4 linked regions of the Schizosaccharomyces pombe genome follow. The protein of the gene in region 1 interacts with the protein of each later gene in a biochemical or structural test. Each region holds a gene or a part of one and is shown in the gene's direction. Other genes may lie near its edges.

Evidence for each region.
Region 2: the proteins of pxl1 (region 1) and cdc15 form a complex in vitro, tested with the Schizosaccharomyces pombe proteins (4 studies listed by BioGRID, with this or other methods).
Region 3: the proteins of pxl1 (region 1) and cnb1 form a complex in vitro, tested with the Schizosaccharomyces pombe proteins (one study listed by BioGRID).
Region 4: the proteins of pxl1 (region 1) and ppb1 form a complex in vitro, tested with the Schizosaccharomyces pombe proteins (one study listed by BioGRID).

What each region holds. Positions count from the first base shown.
Region 1 is NC_003423.3:2,710,334-2,714,719, forward strand, and holds pxl1 (paxillin-like protein Pxl1), read left to right. Parts: upstream 1-1,834; 5' UTR 1,835-2,178; coding exon 2,179-2,207; intron 2,208-2,263; coding exon 2,264-3,551; 3' UTR 3,552-3,874; downstream 3,875-4,386. Other genes in the region: asn2 (asparagine synthase), read right to left, coding at 1-1,161; erb1 (WD repeat/BOP1NT protein), read right to left, coding at 4,091-4,386.
Region 2 is NC_003424.3:1,398,642-1,404,479, reverse strand, and holds cdc15 (F-BAR domain protein Cdc15), read left to right. Parts: upstream 1-1,543; 5' UTR 1,544-1,593; coding exon 1,594-1,674; intron 1,675-1,732; coding exon 1,733-1,824; intron 1,825-2,000; exon of another isoform or gene 2,001-2,015; coding exon 2,016-4,453; exon of another isoform or gene 4,454-4,464; intron 4,465-4,509; coding exon 4,510-4,682; 3' UTR 4,683-5,280; downstream 5,281-5,838. Other genes in the region: CCR4-Not complex subunit Not1, read right to left, coding at 1-1,158. UniProt on the Schizosaccharomyces pombe protein: After the onset of mitosis, forms a ring-like structure which colocalizes with the medial actin ring. Appears to mediate cytoskeletal rearrangements required for cytokinesis. Essential for viability.
Region 3 is NC_003421.2:2,190,390-2,193,933, forward strand, and holds cnb1 (calcineurin regulatory subunit B), read left to right. Parts: upstream 1-1,701; 5' UTR 1,702-1,814; coding exon 1,815-1,866; exon of another isoform or gene 1,867-2,059; coding exon 2,060-2,296; exon of another isoform or gene 2,297-2,357; intron 2,358-2,358; coding exon 2,359-2,471; intron 2,472-2,524; coding exon 2,525-2,647; 3' UTR 2,648-2,989; downstream 2,990-3,544. Other genes in the region: NuA4 histone acetyltransferase core complex-Piccolo HAT module linker protein Epl1, read right to left, coding at 173-340. UniProt on the Schizosaccharomyces pombe protein: Regulatory subunit of calcineurin, a calcium-dependent, calmodulin stimulated protein phosphatase. Confers calcium sensitivity.
Region 4 is NC_003423.3:2,871,969-2,876,631, forward strand, and holds ppb1 (calcium-dependent serine/threonine protein phosphatase calcineurin catalytic subunit Ppb1), read left to right. Parts: upstream 1-1,953; 5' UTR 1,954-2,028; coding exon 2,029-2,167; exon of another isoform or gene 2,168-2,211; coding exon 2,212-2,418; exon of another isoform or gene 2,419-2,572; coding exon 2,573-3,891; 3' UTR 3,892-4,141; downstream 4,142-4,663. Other genes in the region: oxa102 (translocase Oxa101), read left to right, coding at 1-1,159; S-adenosylmethionine decarboxylase proenzyme Spe2, read right to left, coding at 4,265-4,663. UniProt on the Schizosaccharomyces pombe protein: Calcium-dependent, calmodulin-stimulated protein phosphatase. This subunit may have a role in the calmodulin activation of calcineurin. Appears to be involved in cytokinesis, mating, transport, nuclear and spindle pole body positioning, and cell shape.

The sequences.
Region 1 (4,386 bases):
AAGTACACCACGCCCTTGTGAAGCAAAATAAAAAGCTAATCCAATAGAAAGATCCATAACTGAATCGTTCGGATAGATAAGTGTTTTGACTATTTCCTGTGCTTCACATACTTCTGTATAAGGAACGTTTATAGCAACAAAATTCCATTTTCGAGCAGGGCAAACTGAAATAAGCTCCTGCCAGCCTTGTAATCCAGTTTGTCTATCAGGACATACGTCGTATGCATCAAAATTGTCAGGAAGAAGTCCCGTCTCTCTGTCACGGTATGTCTCTGTAAATCTTGGGTTTTCAAAAGCCACATTAATTAAATCGATGGACTCGTTATTGGGAACTATGTCGTGCATTAGCCGTGCTAATACACCGCAATCCACTCCCCCAGAGTAAAGAACGCAAACTCGGCTATAATGACTACAGTCAAGGTTTGAAGAGCACAGTTTGGGGATTGTTAAAACTCTATCTTGAAGCGCTTTGATAAGATATGTATGCAATGTGTCCACAGTGTCTGAAGAGATTGAGCCCATGAGAAAGGACTCATCCACAGGAGGAAGAGGGTTTGTTTTTTCCAGTTGCATTAATGATTTAGAGAAGTTAATTTTTGGGATCAAGTCCACCTGCACACTATGAAACCCAGGCTCAACTTCTCGGAAATCACTAGAATTTCCTACACTTGAGAGAACGAAATTACTATCTCGTAAACTATACAAAAGGGATCTTCTTCCTAAGCGATCTCTTCCCCACCACAATGTGTTTGTACGAACTTGGTAGTAAACAAAAGCAAAAGGTCCTTGAATACTTCCCAAAATTTTTTCAATGTCGCCCGGGTTATTGTTTAAAAGTTCAAAAAGTTTTGCACCGTCGTTTTCATTACGATTGAGCGTAAATTTGTGATGATCGCTATGGTTTATTTGCCAAATTTCTCCATTCCAACACAAAACGTTTCCAAAACTGTCAACATGAGGTTGAGGCGTTAAATGATCAGAAGGGCCACGTAAATGCAAAACGCTTGACTCAAAGTGCAAATTCCAAGGTCCGCTATTCAATTTATGCTTACCAAAAAAATCAGGTCCTCTAGCCCGAATCCTTTTTCGTAAAGCTGAAAAAGATGGACTTTCAAGAAGATTATCTCTGTCTTCCGCTAAGGCGAAAAGAATTCCGCACATAAACTATTCTCAAACACTTTTGCTTCTAACAAATCTACAGTCAAAAAAGTGTTTTTTCCTTTAACGACGTTTGTGTGGTACAGTGTGATCGTAATTTTATATACAATATCATTTTGCGACACATTGCAACGCTTATAAGTAACTACACACTGAACAGACTCACGGGTCTACATATTTTTTCTTATACAATTATACTTACAACTGGTAAAGAATTTTCTTAGGTCAATCTGTAGCTTGAAAGCCAAAATTAGGTTTCTATTTATGAAACAATAAGCGAAATGCTGTATGCCTGACAAAGCATAATGGGGTAGTTAATGACATTTAAAGAGCTGTAACAATACAGTAAGCATTAATAACGCGCTCCACAATAATCTACTGCCAAAGTATAAAAAAAATAAATTATAAAAAGATATTGTACCATATTATGAAATCGCAACATATAAAATTGTCCAACAAATAACATTGATTTCGTTTGGAACATTTTCTGCATAGGAATGGCTTAATTCACTTTAATTACTAATATATTCGCATTTTTTTACTTTCTGCTGGTATACAAACATTGAATACGTACTCTCTAAGTATTCGTTAAAGGTACAATGTTACCTATTATGAGGCTGGTTTCTATAACAACGAATGTTTGTTTATATTTTGGAATATACACTTAAACAAAGCCAACACTTATTAGCTAAAACACTTTGGATAAAGCAAATATTACTGCTTTCTAAATAATAACTACTTGCTTACAATTGCATTTTTTTAATACAGCTAGTTTTTTTGGGGGACTCCGCTCTTTGAGATATATATCCTTACGTTGGCAACAATTTTCTATAAGTTAATCCCAGCTTGATTTTTGTTTTTCCTTCCTTATCCTTCTCTTCCTATTTTTTATCTTGTTTTTAAGTGTTGCGGCTAGATTTATACCCTGCGAGCTTGGCTATCCTGATTTCTTAAGGTTGTCAACGATCCTGAATTCTTTCCGTTGATTAGTGTCCTGATAGTTGAGAAGCATATCAGCAAATGCATTCACCAATTCCAGAATTACCAAGGTAATCTATTGTCTTATTGTTATTACCCAATTAGGTATCTAACTTCGTTTTTGTAGATTTGAACGTCGATTGACTGGTCCTCGTGCTGCTCCTTCTTCGCCGGTCTCTACTAATGGCTCCCCGCTAAACAATTTAGTTCGTTCTCGGTTATCTGATGGAGCACTTAACTTTACTGGAGGTCGAATAGCTACACCATTACCGCAACCAAGTTTGAAGACTCCTGAATCTCCTTTGTCCAAGAGGAATCCAACAATAAAACAAAATCGTGTACGTTTTGATCTGCCTGATGACGAGCTCTCTCGTTCTAATGTTTCGTCGCCGGAAAAAACACTACTAACCTCTGCTTCTACTTCTACTTTCGATAGCTTAAAAAAGGAGCTTTTACCTGAATTGCCATCTCTTGCATACAGTGACGACGATGAGTTTCCTAGTTCGCCGGAGGAATTGAATTCACATGTTAATTATCCAGACGTACGAAATGTTTACGATTGTCATACCGGTTTACAGCCGCTTGTTGATCATGATTGCATTGAAGACAGACAAAAAACCTTCGCATCCAAACAACTTCCTACTCTTCCTTTACAGAAATCCAGTAAACTTTCCAATCGTAGACCCGCTTTGCATTCTTTTCATTCTGCTCCTGCTAATAGCTTATATCCTTTGCCCACCCCCACTTCACAATTGCCTAGCAACTTGTCCTCAAATAATTTATTTCAATCAGATTCACTTAAGCCTTCAATGGTATCTTCTCATACATCTACAAAACCAGTTCTTTATAGAGGCAATTCTGAAAAATCCTGTCATAGTTGCGGCGGTTCTTTACGCGCTGGCAGAATAATTAGTGCTTCAGGAAAGAAATTACACCCTCAATGCTTCAAATGCGATACTTGTTCCCAGAACTTAGAGCACGTTGGATTTTATTACCGCGAGGGAAAATTTTATTGTCATCTAGACTATCATGAACAGTTCAGTCCTCGCTGTAAGCACTGCAAAACCCCAATTGAAGACCAAGCGGTCCATATCAACAATGATTGGTTTCATGAAAATCATCATTTTTGCGCTGGTTGCTCTGAAGTTTTTAATGTAAATATACCCTGTATTTACCGTGACGACCTATACTGGTGTCAGACTTGTTATGATAATAAGTATGCTGTTAAGTGCAAGAAATGCCGTAAACCCATTTTGGGGATCAGTGTAAAAGGGTCTGATGGTGAATATCATAGCCAATGTTGGACCTGCGGAGCTTGTAATGCCCTACTTGGAGATGAGGGTTATTTTATGATAGAAAATACCCCTATTTGCCGTCCTTGCAAGGCGATATCAGTCAAGTTTAATTTGGATTAACTCAGACTTACTCATCACTTTCTTTTTCTTTTTTTTTTGTTATTTTTTCACTTCTTTCATCGATTTTAGCTTTATAAGGAAAGCTGTCTTGGAAATCTTGGAGATTTTAAATCATTTCATTTAATCCACAAAGTCCAGCATGTTTACTTGCATTTAAACTTGCTGTATTTTTATAATTAAGCAATTAATGATTAGGTAACTATAGATATATAAAAAGCACTATTGAATTTCAACGGTTACGATTTTTGATATCACGTAATACTTAAATACTTTAGATAACTTACCAAAAAATAAAAAATAAAAACATATTCAGTTTGCACAAATGCATTTTAAACTTTCGAAAACCCCTATATTCCTATTAAATATCCAAAATCAAGTACGAAAACAATCTTTTCGACTTGTTAGCAAAACTATAATACAGCATTGAAAAAGTATCTTTTGCAGTAAACACTACCAAACATTATTTTTAAAAGTAGAGTTTTTCTAAATTTTAAAGCAAGTGAAGAAAACAAAAATATTTAAGACGTTTCAAACCTTTTTCAAGTCCACATCCGAATTTCTCCACCAGCACCTGCACTGAATAACCAGGCTTCTTTTGGATGCCAGCATGTGGATAAAACACCGACATTATCAACCACTTTATGATTCCGCAAAATCTTAAGAGGAACAATCAAGGGATTAGCCAGAAGGTCACTGTAAACACGACCGTGGAACACTTGAACATCACCATCATCAGAGCCAGAGCAAAATAGTGGAAGGGAAGGATGATATGAGACATCGCGAAGAGCACGTGAATGATATCGAAGATTTTTATATGGTTTAGAAGAAAAGTCTA
Region 2 (5,838 bases), on another chromosome or scaffold:
GACATTGAACTCTCTTATATCAAACATCGATGTTGGGGATAGGATAATATGAGAAATGATGGAAAGTTGCGGTAAAGGATTTCTCCAAAGAACCCAGAGAAAGTCCAACGTAAAATTAGTTTGCCTTAACTTGTAAGCATTTGTAAAGATTGTGAAGAACAGTACAAGACTAGGTGTACCCGTTATCATAAATTTAGGATTATCGAACATAGAAAGCATAGCTTCCCAATTTAGGTTTTCAAAAGAGGAAACGATAGCTTTACCCATCAAAACAGTGTCCCAAGCACCATAATCATGTATAGCTACAAGTGAATTTATAAGATAAGCAACATCAGTCTCAGTAGCCGTTCCCGGGGGATATTTTTTAAGAATTGCTTCTTTCATAGACTTAAGTGTAGCTTTGGAAGCTTTCATCGGACCAAACAAAGCTGTAAGAGGGCGTGAATTCGCCAACTTTTTCTCAATTATAGCATCAAACTTTGGAACTTTAATCAAGGGTATTCTGTCATAGTCGGTGGTAAACAAACCTTCCCTGAGCAAATCCAAATCGTTTTTATCAATACTTTGTTGCTGAGTAGGATCGGATAGTTGGTTTAAAAGAGATTGGAATGTGTTTTTAAGCAAAGCAGAAGCTTTCTTTGCTAAAGTAGGTTTAACAGAAGTGGTAAGTCCAATTAAAAGGTTAGTCCTTTCTAACGGGGAGAATTGGAAATGGTCTAAAAATGCCTCTATATCGAAATCTTCAAATACTTCAGAATCAGAACCTGAAATAGCATCACTAAAACGTTTCGCCATGACCCAAGACTTCGTGAGAGATTTTAATTCATCTAGTAGTAATTTATAAGTAGCTAGTCCATCAGAAGATTTACCGGTACCAAAAATACGGTATGAATTTCCTTGAATTAGACGGCGAAGAAAATGGTGGTATACTCTGGGTGCATTTTTGTTGATAAGTTGACGAATCTGTTCAAGTTTCGTATCATATTGGTCTTCCCGTAAGGTCGACAATAAGAAAAGGATTTGTGCTTTAACAATACTTTCAATTTTTGAATCGTTTGGTGGAGGGGTCTTAGAATCTAGTGATATAGGATGCCCAGATTCAGAAGTTGAACTAGATTTCTCTCGTGTCTCCGGCGTTTGTTGTTCTTGGCTCTTCATATTTTTAACGCTTTTCTATTACCATGCCTTTGTGAGGCTATTATTATACTCCTATGCTATTTTCAGCTGATATATTCTTTGAATATTTACAGATGAGATGCAGCAGTATCTGCTAGCAAGTTTGAATGAAAATAGGTGCAGTGGTGTTTTGCAAAAGATATGTCGGTCCTCCTCACTGCCAGGCAGTCTAAGAAAGGATCGAACATTAAATTTAACGAGACTGTATCTTTCGTAAACTTTTTTAACAAAATTTAAGGATAGAGTTAATTTGCAGTTGCTTATTGTGCACTCAGATAGGCAACGGTTGCTAGGGACGGTTGTCACCGCAGTAGTCGCAGTAAACAAACATGTTTACTCTTTTCCTGAAATCGACTACCAGGAATTTACCAACAACAAATCACAAATTTTGCTGCATTTTGTTCTTTCAATAACAAAATGGAGGTTAATGGAGTCTCTCAATCTGAAGCGGCTCCGTACGTTACCAAATCTTCTGTTAAGTTCCGCGATAATTTCTGGGTATGTGTAAATTTGCTGTATTTAGTAAAGCAAAGTTATGTTAACAAAATCGTTGCAGGGATCTGAAGATGCGGGTATGGATGCTCTTATGTCCCGAACAAAATCTTCTCTTTCCGTATTAGAATCAATTGATGAATTTTACGCAAAGCGGTAAGTATGGTTGCCTCGTTTGGAAGTTGCAGCTCTACCTTAAGCGCTACGATGATTCAAGAAATATGTTTTTGGTCGTTTCATTGTCATTTAAGATGTTTTACAGATAATCGTGGATTCTTAAGATAGCTTGTGTAATGAACCGAAGGGTTCGGTATGATTATTGATTAAAGTCTGACTAACTAAATTAGTGCTTCTATTGAGCGTGAGTACGCATCTAAACTGCAAGAGTTAGCTGCCAGCTCAGCAGACATCCCAGAAGTTGGATCAACTTTAAATAATATTTTATCTATGAGAACTGAAACAGGGAGTATGGCCAAAGCGCATGAAGAAGTCTCACAACAGATAAATACCGAATTGCGAAATAAAATTCGCGAGTACATTGATCAGACGGAGCAACAGAAAGTTGTTGCAGCCAATGCCATTGAGGAATTATATCAGAAAAAAACGGCTCTCGAAATAGACTTATCCGAGAAGAAGGATGCCTACGAGTACAGTTGTAACAAGCTGAATAGCTACATGAGACAGACAAAAAAGATGACTGGTCGTGAATTAGACAAATACAATTTAAAAATCCGTCAAGCAGCGCTAGCAGTAAAAAAAATGGATGCGGAATACAGAGAAACAAACGAATTACTTCTTACAGTTACTCGGGAATGGATTGATCGTTGGACAGAGGTCTGTGATGCTTTTCAACATATTGAGGAATATCGTTTAGAGTTTCTCAAAACAAACATGTGGGCCTATGCAAATATAATATCTACTGCTTGTGTAAAAGATGATGAATCTTGTGAAAAGATTCGACTCACACTCGAAAACACTAACATTGATGAAGATATTACTCAAATGATTCAAAACGAAGGTACCGGAACTACAATTCCCCCTTTACCCGAGTTTAATGACTATTTCAAAGAAAACGGATTAAATTATGACATCGACCAGCTCATTTCTAAAGCTCCTTCTTATCCATACTCCTCTTCGCGTCCCTCAGCTTCTGCATCTTTGGCAAGTTCGCCAACACGTAGCGCTTTTCGCCCCAAAACTAGTGAAACAGTTTCATCGGAAGTTGTATCATCACCACCTACTTCACCATTGCATTCACCAGTTAAGCCAGTGTCTAATGAACAAGTTGAACAAGTTACAGAGGTTGAACTTTCTATTCCCGTTCCTTCTATACAAGAAGCTGAATCCCAGAAACCAGTACTTACAGGGAGCTCAATGCGTCGACCTTCTGTAACATCACCAACTTTTGAAGTAGCTGCTCGTCCTTTGACTTCAATGGATGTTAGATCCTCTCATAATGCCGAGACTGAGGTACAGGCTATACCCGCTGCAACAGATATATCACCCGAAGTTAAGGAAGGTAAAAATAGTGAGAATGCTATCACGAAAGATAATGATGATATTATTTTGAGTAGTCAACTTCAACCTACTGCTACCGGAAGTCGGTCATCTAGGTTGTCTTTCTCTCGACATGGACACGGGTCTCAAACTAGTTTGGGATCTATCAAACGAAAATCAATAATGGAGCGTATGGGGAGACCCACTTCTCCCTTCATGGGTTCTAGTTTCTCTAATATGGGTAGCCGAAGTACCTCACCTACTAAAGAAGGATTTGCTAGCAATCAACATGCCACAGGCGCGTCTGTCCAGTCTGATGAGTTAGAAGATATTGACCCCAGAGCTAACGTTGTTTTAAACGTTGGACCCAACATGCTTTCTGTTGGAGAGGCACCAGTGGAATCCACATCCAAAGAAGAAGACAAAGATGTACCCGATCCCATCGCTAATGCAATGGCTGAATTAAGTTCGTCAATGAGAAGACGCCAATCGACATCAGTTGACGATGAAGCGCCTGTTTCTCTTAGTAAGACGTCTTCTTCTACAAGATTAAATGGCTTGGGCTATCACTCTCGAAATACTTCTATAGCTAGTGATATAGATGGCGTTCCCAAAAAGAGTACCTTAGGAGCTCCTCCAGCCGCACACACTTCTGCTCAAATGCAACGCATGAGTAATAGTTTTGCTTCCCAAACAAAGCAGGTGTTCGGAGAGCAACGAACCGAAAATTCAGCTAGAGAATCCCTTCGTCATAGTCGAAGCAATATGAGTAGATCTCCTTCTCCAATGTTATCGAGAAGAAGCTCCACCTTGCGCCCAAGCTTTGAGAGGTCTGCATCTTCTCTTAGTGTACGCCAATCTGATGTCGTTTCGCCAGCACCTTCTACAAGGGCTCGTGGGCAATCAGTGTCTGGTCAACAAAGGCCATCTTCATCTATGTCGTTGTATGGTGAGTACAACAAATCTCAACCTCAGTTGTCTATGCAACGTTCTGTTTCTCCCAATCCGTTAGGCCCTAATCGTAGATCGTCATCAGTCTTACAGTCACAGAAATCTACTTCATCTAACACATCAAACCGAAACAATGGTGGTTATAGTGGATCGAGACCAAGTTCAGAAATGGGTCACAGATATGGGTCTATGAGTGGAAGGTCCATGAGGCAAGTTTCCCAAAGATCCACCAGTCGCGCACGGTCACCAGAGCCGACTAATAGAAATAGCGTTCAATCAAAGAATGTCGATCCACGAGCTACTTTTACGGCTGAAGGAGAGCCAATTTTAGGATATGGTAAGTTCATTAAAGAGAAACTTTAAAAATTTTTAATTTTACTAATTATAATTCAGTTATCGCACTTTATGATTATCAAGCTCAAATACCTGAAGAAATTAGCTTCCAAAAGGGCGATACATTAATGGTTCTTCGCACACAAGAAGATGGATGGTGGGATGGTGAAATTATTAATGTTCCAAATTCAAAACGTGGTTTATTCCCGTCGAACTTTGTTCAGACGGTATAGACACTGATTACCCTCTTTTCTAGATGTTTACACTTGCATTCTTTTTCGCGTGGTTACTATCTCTTACTAATCCGTAATTCCTTATTTTTTTTTTGATGACTTAACGCGAAACGACATGCTTTTTTTTTTTAAATTCATTTCTCGTCATGGTCTAAGCTTCGTTGCATTGCATAGGTATTTATACGCATTTATTTTGATATCTAAAGATTTCTGTTTTAAAGGAAATACACATAGAATCTAGTTGATTGGAATATATTTTATTTTATTTTATTAACAATGTTTGACTCCTTTGTCCTTTGGCTATTGTAAGACGTAAGAATAACACTAATTGTTTTTGAAGATTTCGTGCATTTCAAAGTTTCATATGATTTTTACATCAATTTCAAAACCGATTTTAGTAAATTAAAATCAAGGTACGATTTGGTATGTAGCTTTGACAAGATATAGCTAAATTGCTAATTTTTATCAGTAACTAGAGGATAAAGTTGAATAAACCAAAAATATAACACGATGATGAATTTGCCTGCTCAAAAATATGATATCCGCAGATGTAGGATTCTGAGCTTTACTTTTTAAAAAGAAGCCGACCGATAATTACCAGAAAATGCATTTGTGGATAAGGTATGTTTGAAGAGTGCAAACCCAGATTTTTTGTTTGGCTATAGATACAGTGTGCATCAACTAGCTTGTAAACATGAGTGTTAGGAGATATGAATAGATGCTTATAAAATGATCTGATTGAAAAGAAGTCTCGCTAGCCTGAACAGATAAGATTATTGATTGAGGTATAAAAAGACATAAGACCCTGATTTTGCAAAAACACATGCGTGCCTTTATATTTACATACCTACTTAGTGAAAAAGCTACAGATTTTGTTATTTGCTTTAACGATACAATGAACTGCGGTGAGTTTCGCTTATGAGCTGTTTATTCTATGATACTTTTGAATAATAGAGGTAACAGTTGCTATATATATTGTTATATGTAGGTACTGTTGTAATTTGTCGCTGAGAAAGAACTGAAGAACGAGGATCTATTTATCGTGTATTATTCTTAATAGCTTATATTTTATTGTATTGTTAGCAAGATCTATCTCATGTTCGTATTATCATGACACGATGTGCAAATTGAATGAATGAATGAATAATGATATGTA
Region 3 (3,544 bases), on another chromosome or scaffold:
TTCGATGCAACTCCGCTCAAATCATAATTTTCCGCATAACCCTTCGTATACATTGTAAAACGGTGATTAAGCACCTTTAAAAAGAGTGTTTATTTTTGTCAACGAAATCCATCAAGAAGCCAAGGTTTTTCGTACTTTTCATTATCTTTCACATTCTCGGGTTCGCACTTACCTCTTCCTCTTCTTTTTCAACACCAGATTCCACCAAGGGAACTGTCCGCTGAAGTGAAGCTTCTTCATCAAAGTCAGGTATATCACGTTCGAAATAAATCGGCATAACGGTTTTAATACCGACCTTCCGTTGACGATATGCCCTAGCATTTTTGGAGACGGAACTCATGATAATATTGGTATCGTTGGACTCCAATCACTTAAATCTATCCAACCGTAAAATTATAAGATACTCGTCTCACTCAAAATCTTGTAGAAACAGGCGCTAAATCCTGGCGTAGTTGACGGCCGTCGTCGTTGGTGTGTCAAACCACTAGGGGTTAACAAACCGAATGAAATTTTTCATAAACCTCTTCACTGCGATAATTTACCGAGGAGCAACGTAACCAAAAATAATTTTCTAATACGCTCGTACCGTTAATATACAACGTATTGTAGCGATATTTACTGGAGATTCCAGGTGTAAACAATGGAAGAAACCGATGGCAGGAGAAACAAAAGAGGAAATTGTCAACCATCAGTTGAAGTGAAGTCCATAAAACTCCATAGTGAATTATAAGGAATCAAGTTCTATCATAGTTCATCTTATTGACGTCGGAAAACCCTCGTCAATACTCAATAGAAAAAAAGCATTACTAATTCAAAAGAAAAGTCATGATCTGCTAGTATTCGTAGTCTCTAGTAGCAGAAAAAAGCACTTGATTTTTACTTTCAATGCGTGTTATAGACCATGAATAGGCATTTCTGTTAGAATAATAAACTGTTCGCAGCAGAGCCAGGTGGAACATAGAAGTAAACAGCGGAATAAATTCTACATTTTTTTCCACTAACGAAGATGTTTTCCGTATCTCATCAATTATCTATGCCAACTGCGCATAGTATAGGGTGAGAAAAATGAATGTCTTTTTCAAAACGAAGCAAGTTGTAGACAAACATTTTCAACGTTCCACATTTGCTTTTTCCAGAAACCAAGCCCTTTTCAGGAAGATTAAAATTTGATTTAAAAACATGAATTGCAATCTTTCAAATATTCGAAAGTCCTTTCAAATACTTACCAAACATGTCGAAAAATTGCTCATTCTCAGATTTTGCTTCCTTCATAATCTTAAGCTCATATGGTAAAGCTTAATCAGCATAAAACTGCTAAAGCAGTTTAAAAAAAATTTGGTCATCAGAAAGAATAAAGGTTAAAGGTATTTAGTTTTGAAAAATTACAAAACCTCGCCTTTAAAAATCCAAGATGCAGAAACAGCCATCTCCAAAGCAATTATGAATTGCTCTAAACCTCAATTCTTTGTCGTTTTTAAGCCGGATTTTCGTTTGATGCATCCTTTCTAAAAATGAAAAGCTGCCATTGCAGTTGAATTTTCAATTACAAGCTTACAGATAATTTTCATAGCTATTTTTTTGCACAACCCAACATGTTTTCAAGTCATTTTTTGAAATTTACGGATTCCACGATTATCTTTGAGATTGGTGGAAGACAAAGTGTGCCAAGTGACATTCGACCCTTACATTCAGAAGGATTTTGACTCAAACTACCACCACCGATATAAGGAATTTTCTTTGAAAGGTAGCTGACCGTTATATTCTTGGTTTGTTAATTGAACCTTACTCATTTCATATTATTGTGTTTCCCTCTCATGGGTCAGTCGCAGTCGCAAATCTTTGAGGACTTGATCTCAAATTCATCCTGTAAGTTTGATGCTTAGTACGTGTGGCCAAAAGTGTTCTTATCATTATATTTTTTCATGTTAGAATACTTACATCTCTTGTCGTCTATTTCTTTTTAAGATTATAGCCAATTCATCAAAGTTGCCGGTTTCACATGCACAATGCAAAAGTATTAGCACCTCAAAGCGACTCGGCTAACGTTCATTGTATCTAGTTTCCAATGAGGAGATAGAAAGAATTCGCAAGCGTTTTATTAAAATAGATGCTAACCAATCTGGCTCTATTGACCGAAACGAATTTTTGTCGATTCCCAGTGTAGCTTCTAACCCACTTGCTTCCAGACTGTTTTCAGTTGTAGACGAAGACGGTGGAGGAGATGTGGACTTTCAAGAATTTATTAATAGCCTTTCTGTATTTTCAGTGCATGGCAATAAAGAGGAAAAGCTGAAGTGTAAGCTCAATCAACTTGTCGTTCCTTTGCAAATTATGTTCTAACATTATTGTTTTATCTAGTTGCCTTCAAGATTTATGATATTGACCGTGATGGTTATATTTCAAACGGAGAACTTTATCTAGTTCTGAAAATGATGGTTGGCACGAATCTTCGGGAAGATCAATTGCAGCAGGTATGTTATAGACAAAACCTCTTATCTCAAAATCTGACTCCTATTATAACTAGATTGTTGACAAAACCATTATGGAAGTTGATAAGGATCGCGATGGAAAAATTAGCTTTGAAGAGTTCAAAGATATTGTCAGCGGTTCCAACGTTACTAGTAGCATGACACTCGATTCTTTTTGATGAGCATACTTAAAATTAAAACTGATCCTTGTTTCCTCCCTTCTTTCGTTTTGTCGAACGCAATTACGAGTTTGACTAAAGATTCCTTTTACACATTTTGTTTTATCGTCTTCATTCCTTGCATCTGTATTTCGAATTTTATAAATGCATACTATTACATTTCTTTTCCTACTTGCTATTTTTACAATGCTTAATCTACCAAAAAAAGTTTGTATGAATTGCGTATCGAATTTTTACTATAACCTGTCATACAAAAATCTTGAACACATAACTTAGATTATTATGCTTCTTTAGCAATACTATAATTCTCAGTCAAAGTTGTTTACAGAATAGAGTAAACGTCTTAAATATTTACAAATTCAAGGCGTTGTAAAGTATAAACATTGAACAGATGTTCACTTACAACAGTAAGAAACCCATTTTAAAAATACTACGTTGAAAAATTGATGATGAGATCGAACAATAAAGATCATTTACAAAGACGATACAGTATGCATTTTAAATAATAAATAATTAATTATTTTCATATATAGTTTTTAAAGTCATTAGATTAAGAACTTTCATTTGAGCTCTTCTCATCGATAAGCGATTTTAAATCGCCAAGACATTACCAAATAATTACAATAGCATGCAACTCAACGGCAATTTCGTTGCAAATGCATCAACTGCATTATCTTTGTTAACGTAAAGAAAAAGGTTAGGAATGGATTAGAAGGAACCTCAAAGACTTAAAAAAAGAGGAATGAAATCTTGGCTCTGTGTCCCCAAGATCCTTTTCCAAATTCCGGCATATCTAAACAATGTCAGGAATCATAAAACCCAAAATATATGTTGTCATCCTAACAAGTCAACTATAAAAGAATTGAAAGAAGGTCATAAATGCAATGAGGGCATAGA
Region 4 (4,663 bases), 160 kb from region 1:
TGCTACACAAGGAGCGAAGATTCGCCAGATCCACACACATAATACATTTTTTAAGAATTTCTCTTTTGCTAAGCTTGGCCGAAATCAGCGTACTTCTTCCTTAATAAAAATTCACAACTCTTCGACTTCTTTCCCCAAATCTAGGTCCGAGAAAGTGGTTTACACTCCTAGTCTGCCATTGTCGTCCTCCGTCTTAGCATCTTTTTCTTTCTTACCTCATAATATCCTCCAAAACGGCCTTAATACGCTTCATATTTGGAGCGGCCTTCCTTGGTGGGCTTCAATTGCTGCATGTGCTGTTGCTATGAGAATTGCAGTATTTCCTATTATGTTAAAGATGATGAAAACGTCCGCAAAGCTCGCTATCATTAACCCAAAGGTTGCTGAACACATGAGTGTGTTGAGTAAAGCAAAGGCTGAAGGAAACAGCGAATTAATGATGCAAGCTACCACTCAAATCCAAAACCTTTATAAAGTTAACAATGTTAACCCTTTGAATTTGCTTTCTGCTCCTGTATTTCAGGGAATTCTGTTTATTAGCTTTTTTTACGCGTTGAAGACAATGGCGGGTGTACCTGTAGAGGGTTTCACTGATGGTGGTTTTTGGTGGGTTAATGATTTATCCCAGCCTGATCCTCTACACATATTTCCGGTTGCAAACGGCCTTCTTATGCTGCTCAATATAGAGCTTGGTAGCGAAACTGGAAGTAATAAGGTTGCTATGTCTCCCTCAATGAAAAAATTTTTTAGATTTCTTTGCCTTGCCAGTCCACTATTCACTATGAATTTTCCTATGGCAATTTTTATGTATTGGTTTCCTAGCAATGTCTTCAGTGTATTTCAAGGGGCATTTTTGCGTTCATCCACCATAAGGCATAAACTTGGCTTACCAGAAGTCCCATCTGCTATGCCAGTACCGAACGCTCAAAATGAATCGTTTGTTAAGTCATTTACCGATATTGTCCATGGGGTTCAAGAAAAAGGTAAATACCCACAAGCCTCTGAAATACTAGATGCTACACGTTTCCTTAAAACCGATACAAACAATGAGCAAAAACCTACTAATAATAGTACAATTACCAAAGCTACTACGCTATCTGATAATTCTCAAAATGACAAGTCCTCTTCTGTTACCAAACCCACCGAGAAGAAAGATTAAGCTTTTTTGTGTGCTTTGGAATTCTCTTTCTTAGAAGTGTTCCAATGTCCTATTGAGAGCATAAAAGTTTGTAAGATATGGTTAATTTTTTACATTTGTTGCATTATTCATTTCTTTCCTTTGGCTTTATCCCATAATTTTACATATGTTTTAGTTTTTGCATATATCTTCACACTTGCAACACTCTTTTCTATTTCCTTTACTTCTAATAAAATACCCAAATTTACATTTATTTTGCTTATTCTTTCTAAAAATCGCTTTTGTCTAATTCTTTACTACGGAAAGCGATGAGAAATCAAAGAATATTTACAATAACCTAAAATTTGACGTAGCCGTCTAAACAAAAAATAAAATGATTATTAACTCTTAAAGTGTTTTATGGATATTTATTTTATCAATAAAACTATCGTTATTTCAGTTAGGTAATCATGGAATGTAAGTTTCATCAAATCAACTTAGTTTGCTTCTCTCAAAAATGAGCAAGGCAATATAATTAGGAAGGAATTCAGGTAGTATTTGGGTTCCCTTTCTACAAGTTCATTTCTTATTACTAACACGATTGGTTATTAAGATATGTTTGTCTAAGCGGCGATTGTTTGTAAATTTTTAAATATACAGAAGTAAAGATTATGATGAAATATATCTATATTATAAAAAAAAAAAAAAGTACTTAGAATTGTAAACAGATATGTTTTTTGTTCACATGGTTCATTGAGAAAAGCAATTACGAATTTCTTTGCTTTTCGTTAAACCATTTTCCAAAACCGCCGGGACGATGTAAGTATAACAAACCAGAATCTACCAAAACTTTTTGCAAGAATATCTAGCATTTTACCCAGGCTGTATATAGGCTTGCAAAAGTTACTAATATGACTTCGGGTCCTCATAATTTAGAAGACCCAATAGTTCGAGCAATTCGCCAAAAAAATCAAGCTCCTTCTCATGATTTTACAATATTTGTTCAAGAAGATGGCTCTAGTGTTAGCACACTGGATAGAGTAGTGAAAAGTACGGATATTTTTGAAAGAAATTAGTCTTATTAACAATCAAAGATGTTCAAGCACCAGCAACTTATATTCCGACGGACGTGGAGTTTTTTGATATTAATGAACCTGATAAACCTGACTTGCATTTTCTTCGCAATCATTTCATTCGGGAAGGCCGTTTATCTGAGGAACAAACGTTGTATATTATAAAAAAGGCTACAGAAATTTTGAAGTCAGAAGACAACTTGATTGAGGTGGATGCACCTGTCACTGGTATGTTGATTATCACCTTTCATATTTAGGCCCTAATTACTATAAGGTAAAATATTAGAACTTTGAAATGTAATTTATGACTATGTTTTTCCTTCATTTTAATTTGGGTCGATATTTTGTTTGTATTGCAATATTCTTCGGTCTGACAGCTTAGTATGCGGTGACATTCACGGCCAATATTATGATCTTATGAAACTATTTGAAGTTGGAGGTAATCCAGCAAATACCCAATATCTTTTCCTTGGAGATTACGTGGATCGAGGATATTTCTCAATTGAGTGTTTATTGTACTTGTGGGCTTTGAAAATATGGTATCCGAAAACGCTTTGGTTGCTTCGTGGCAATCACGAATGCGCTCATCTTACTGACTATTTTACCTTCAAGTTAGAATGTACTCATAAGTATAATATTAAAGTTTATGAAGCTTGTTTACAATCTTTTAATGCCCTTCCTTTGGCAGCTATTATGAATAAGCAATTTTTATGTGTACATGGTGGATTATCACCCGAACTACATACTTTGAATGATATACGAATGATCAATCGTTTTTGTGAGCCTCCAACTCATGGGTTGATGTGTGATTTACTCTGGTCTGATCCCCTTGAAGATTTTGGATCGGAAAAATCAAACAAGCATTTTATTCATAATAATGTTCGTGGCTGTTCTTACTTTTATAGTTACCAAGCTGTTTGCACCTTCTTAGAAAACAATAATCTCCTCTCCGTTATTCGTGCTCATGAAGCTCAAGATGTGGGCTATCGAATGTATCGCAAAACTAAAACAACCGGGTTTCCATCTTTGATGACCATATTTTCAGCACCCAACTATTTGGATGTTTACAATAATAAAGCTGCTGTTTTGAAATACGAAAATAATGTAATGAATATAAGACAATTTAATTGTTCCCCTCATCCTTACTGGCTTCCTAACTTTATGGATGTTTTTACTTGGAGTCTTCCATTTGTGGGCGAAAAAGTTTCTGAAATGTTGATTTCAATGCTCAATATATGTTCTAAGGAGGAGCTTTATGAAACGGATTTGAAAGAATCGGCTCCGACTCAGCATAAACAGCCTGCTCCATCTGAGAATGAAAATAAAGCCGACCAAGAAATTGATATTGAAGCTCGTAGGCAAATTATTAAAAACAAGATTATGGCTATTGGCCGTATCTCTCGAGTATTCAGTGTGCTTAGAGAAGAACGGGAAAGTGTTTCGGAACTGAAAAACGTGTCAGGTACGCAAAGATTACCTGCGGGTACTTTAATGTTGGGAGCTGAGGGTATCAAAAATGCTATCAATTCCTTCGATGATGCTCGTAAGCTGGATATCCAAAATGAACGTTTACCGCCATCTAATAGCCGTCGACGTTCTACGGATTTAAAGGCTTTCGAAGAAGTAATGAATTCGTCTGAAGATGATACCTCTATCGATCATTTGGTAGAACGCTTTGCAGATAAGAAAAGCTCTTTGTAGATACCAAAACCTGCGCATATTCGTTTTTTAGTTGGAATTTTTCAATGAGCATAAACCTGATCCGAGGTTTTAAGCATACTTACAACAAATATCTAAACACTCAAAATAAAGAAAGCAAATGAGTTTACTTTAGCATAATACAAGATAACCGATGACTAGATACATAAGCATTGCATTTAGATATTCATAATAAACTTTTTGGTATTCATAACTATGAAACCTTTTATAAAACAAGCAAACAAAAGACGACTACTTTTTGCATAATGAAAGATTGTAAAAAGGGGTATTCGCATGGCACGCTCCACCGTAAAAAAGAATGATAATAAATATAGCAACAGATAATTTAAAATATCTAGCTGACTGTTCTCCGAACTTATACTGCAGTAAAGCTGGCAAATATAAGATCATATCCAGGAAAGTCATACACTATAAATTCTTCACGCTTATAAGAGCTAAAAGATTTAAGTTTGGCCGAGAAATGCTTCTCTTGAGACGCACCTTTAGCCTGGAAAAGGGTAAGACAAAATTTGTTTGCACCAAAAGTTTTAACAGTTTTTTCGATTGTTTCAGATATGGATCTTCCGAATTGGAATTGCGAAACATTTGTTTCAAATGAAGCATAAGAACAATGTTCTTGAGGCGTAACATGGATTGTGGCATAGCGGTCCTTGTAAATCATATTCGACGAGAACCCAATTGGCTCAAATTGAAAAGCATCAAGCACTGCTTTTTTATCAGAGGTACTACATAAGTCTCTAACACCCGATTCATC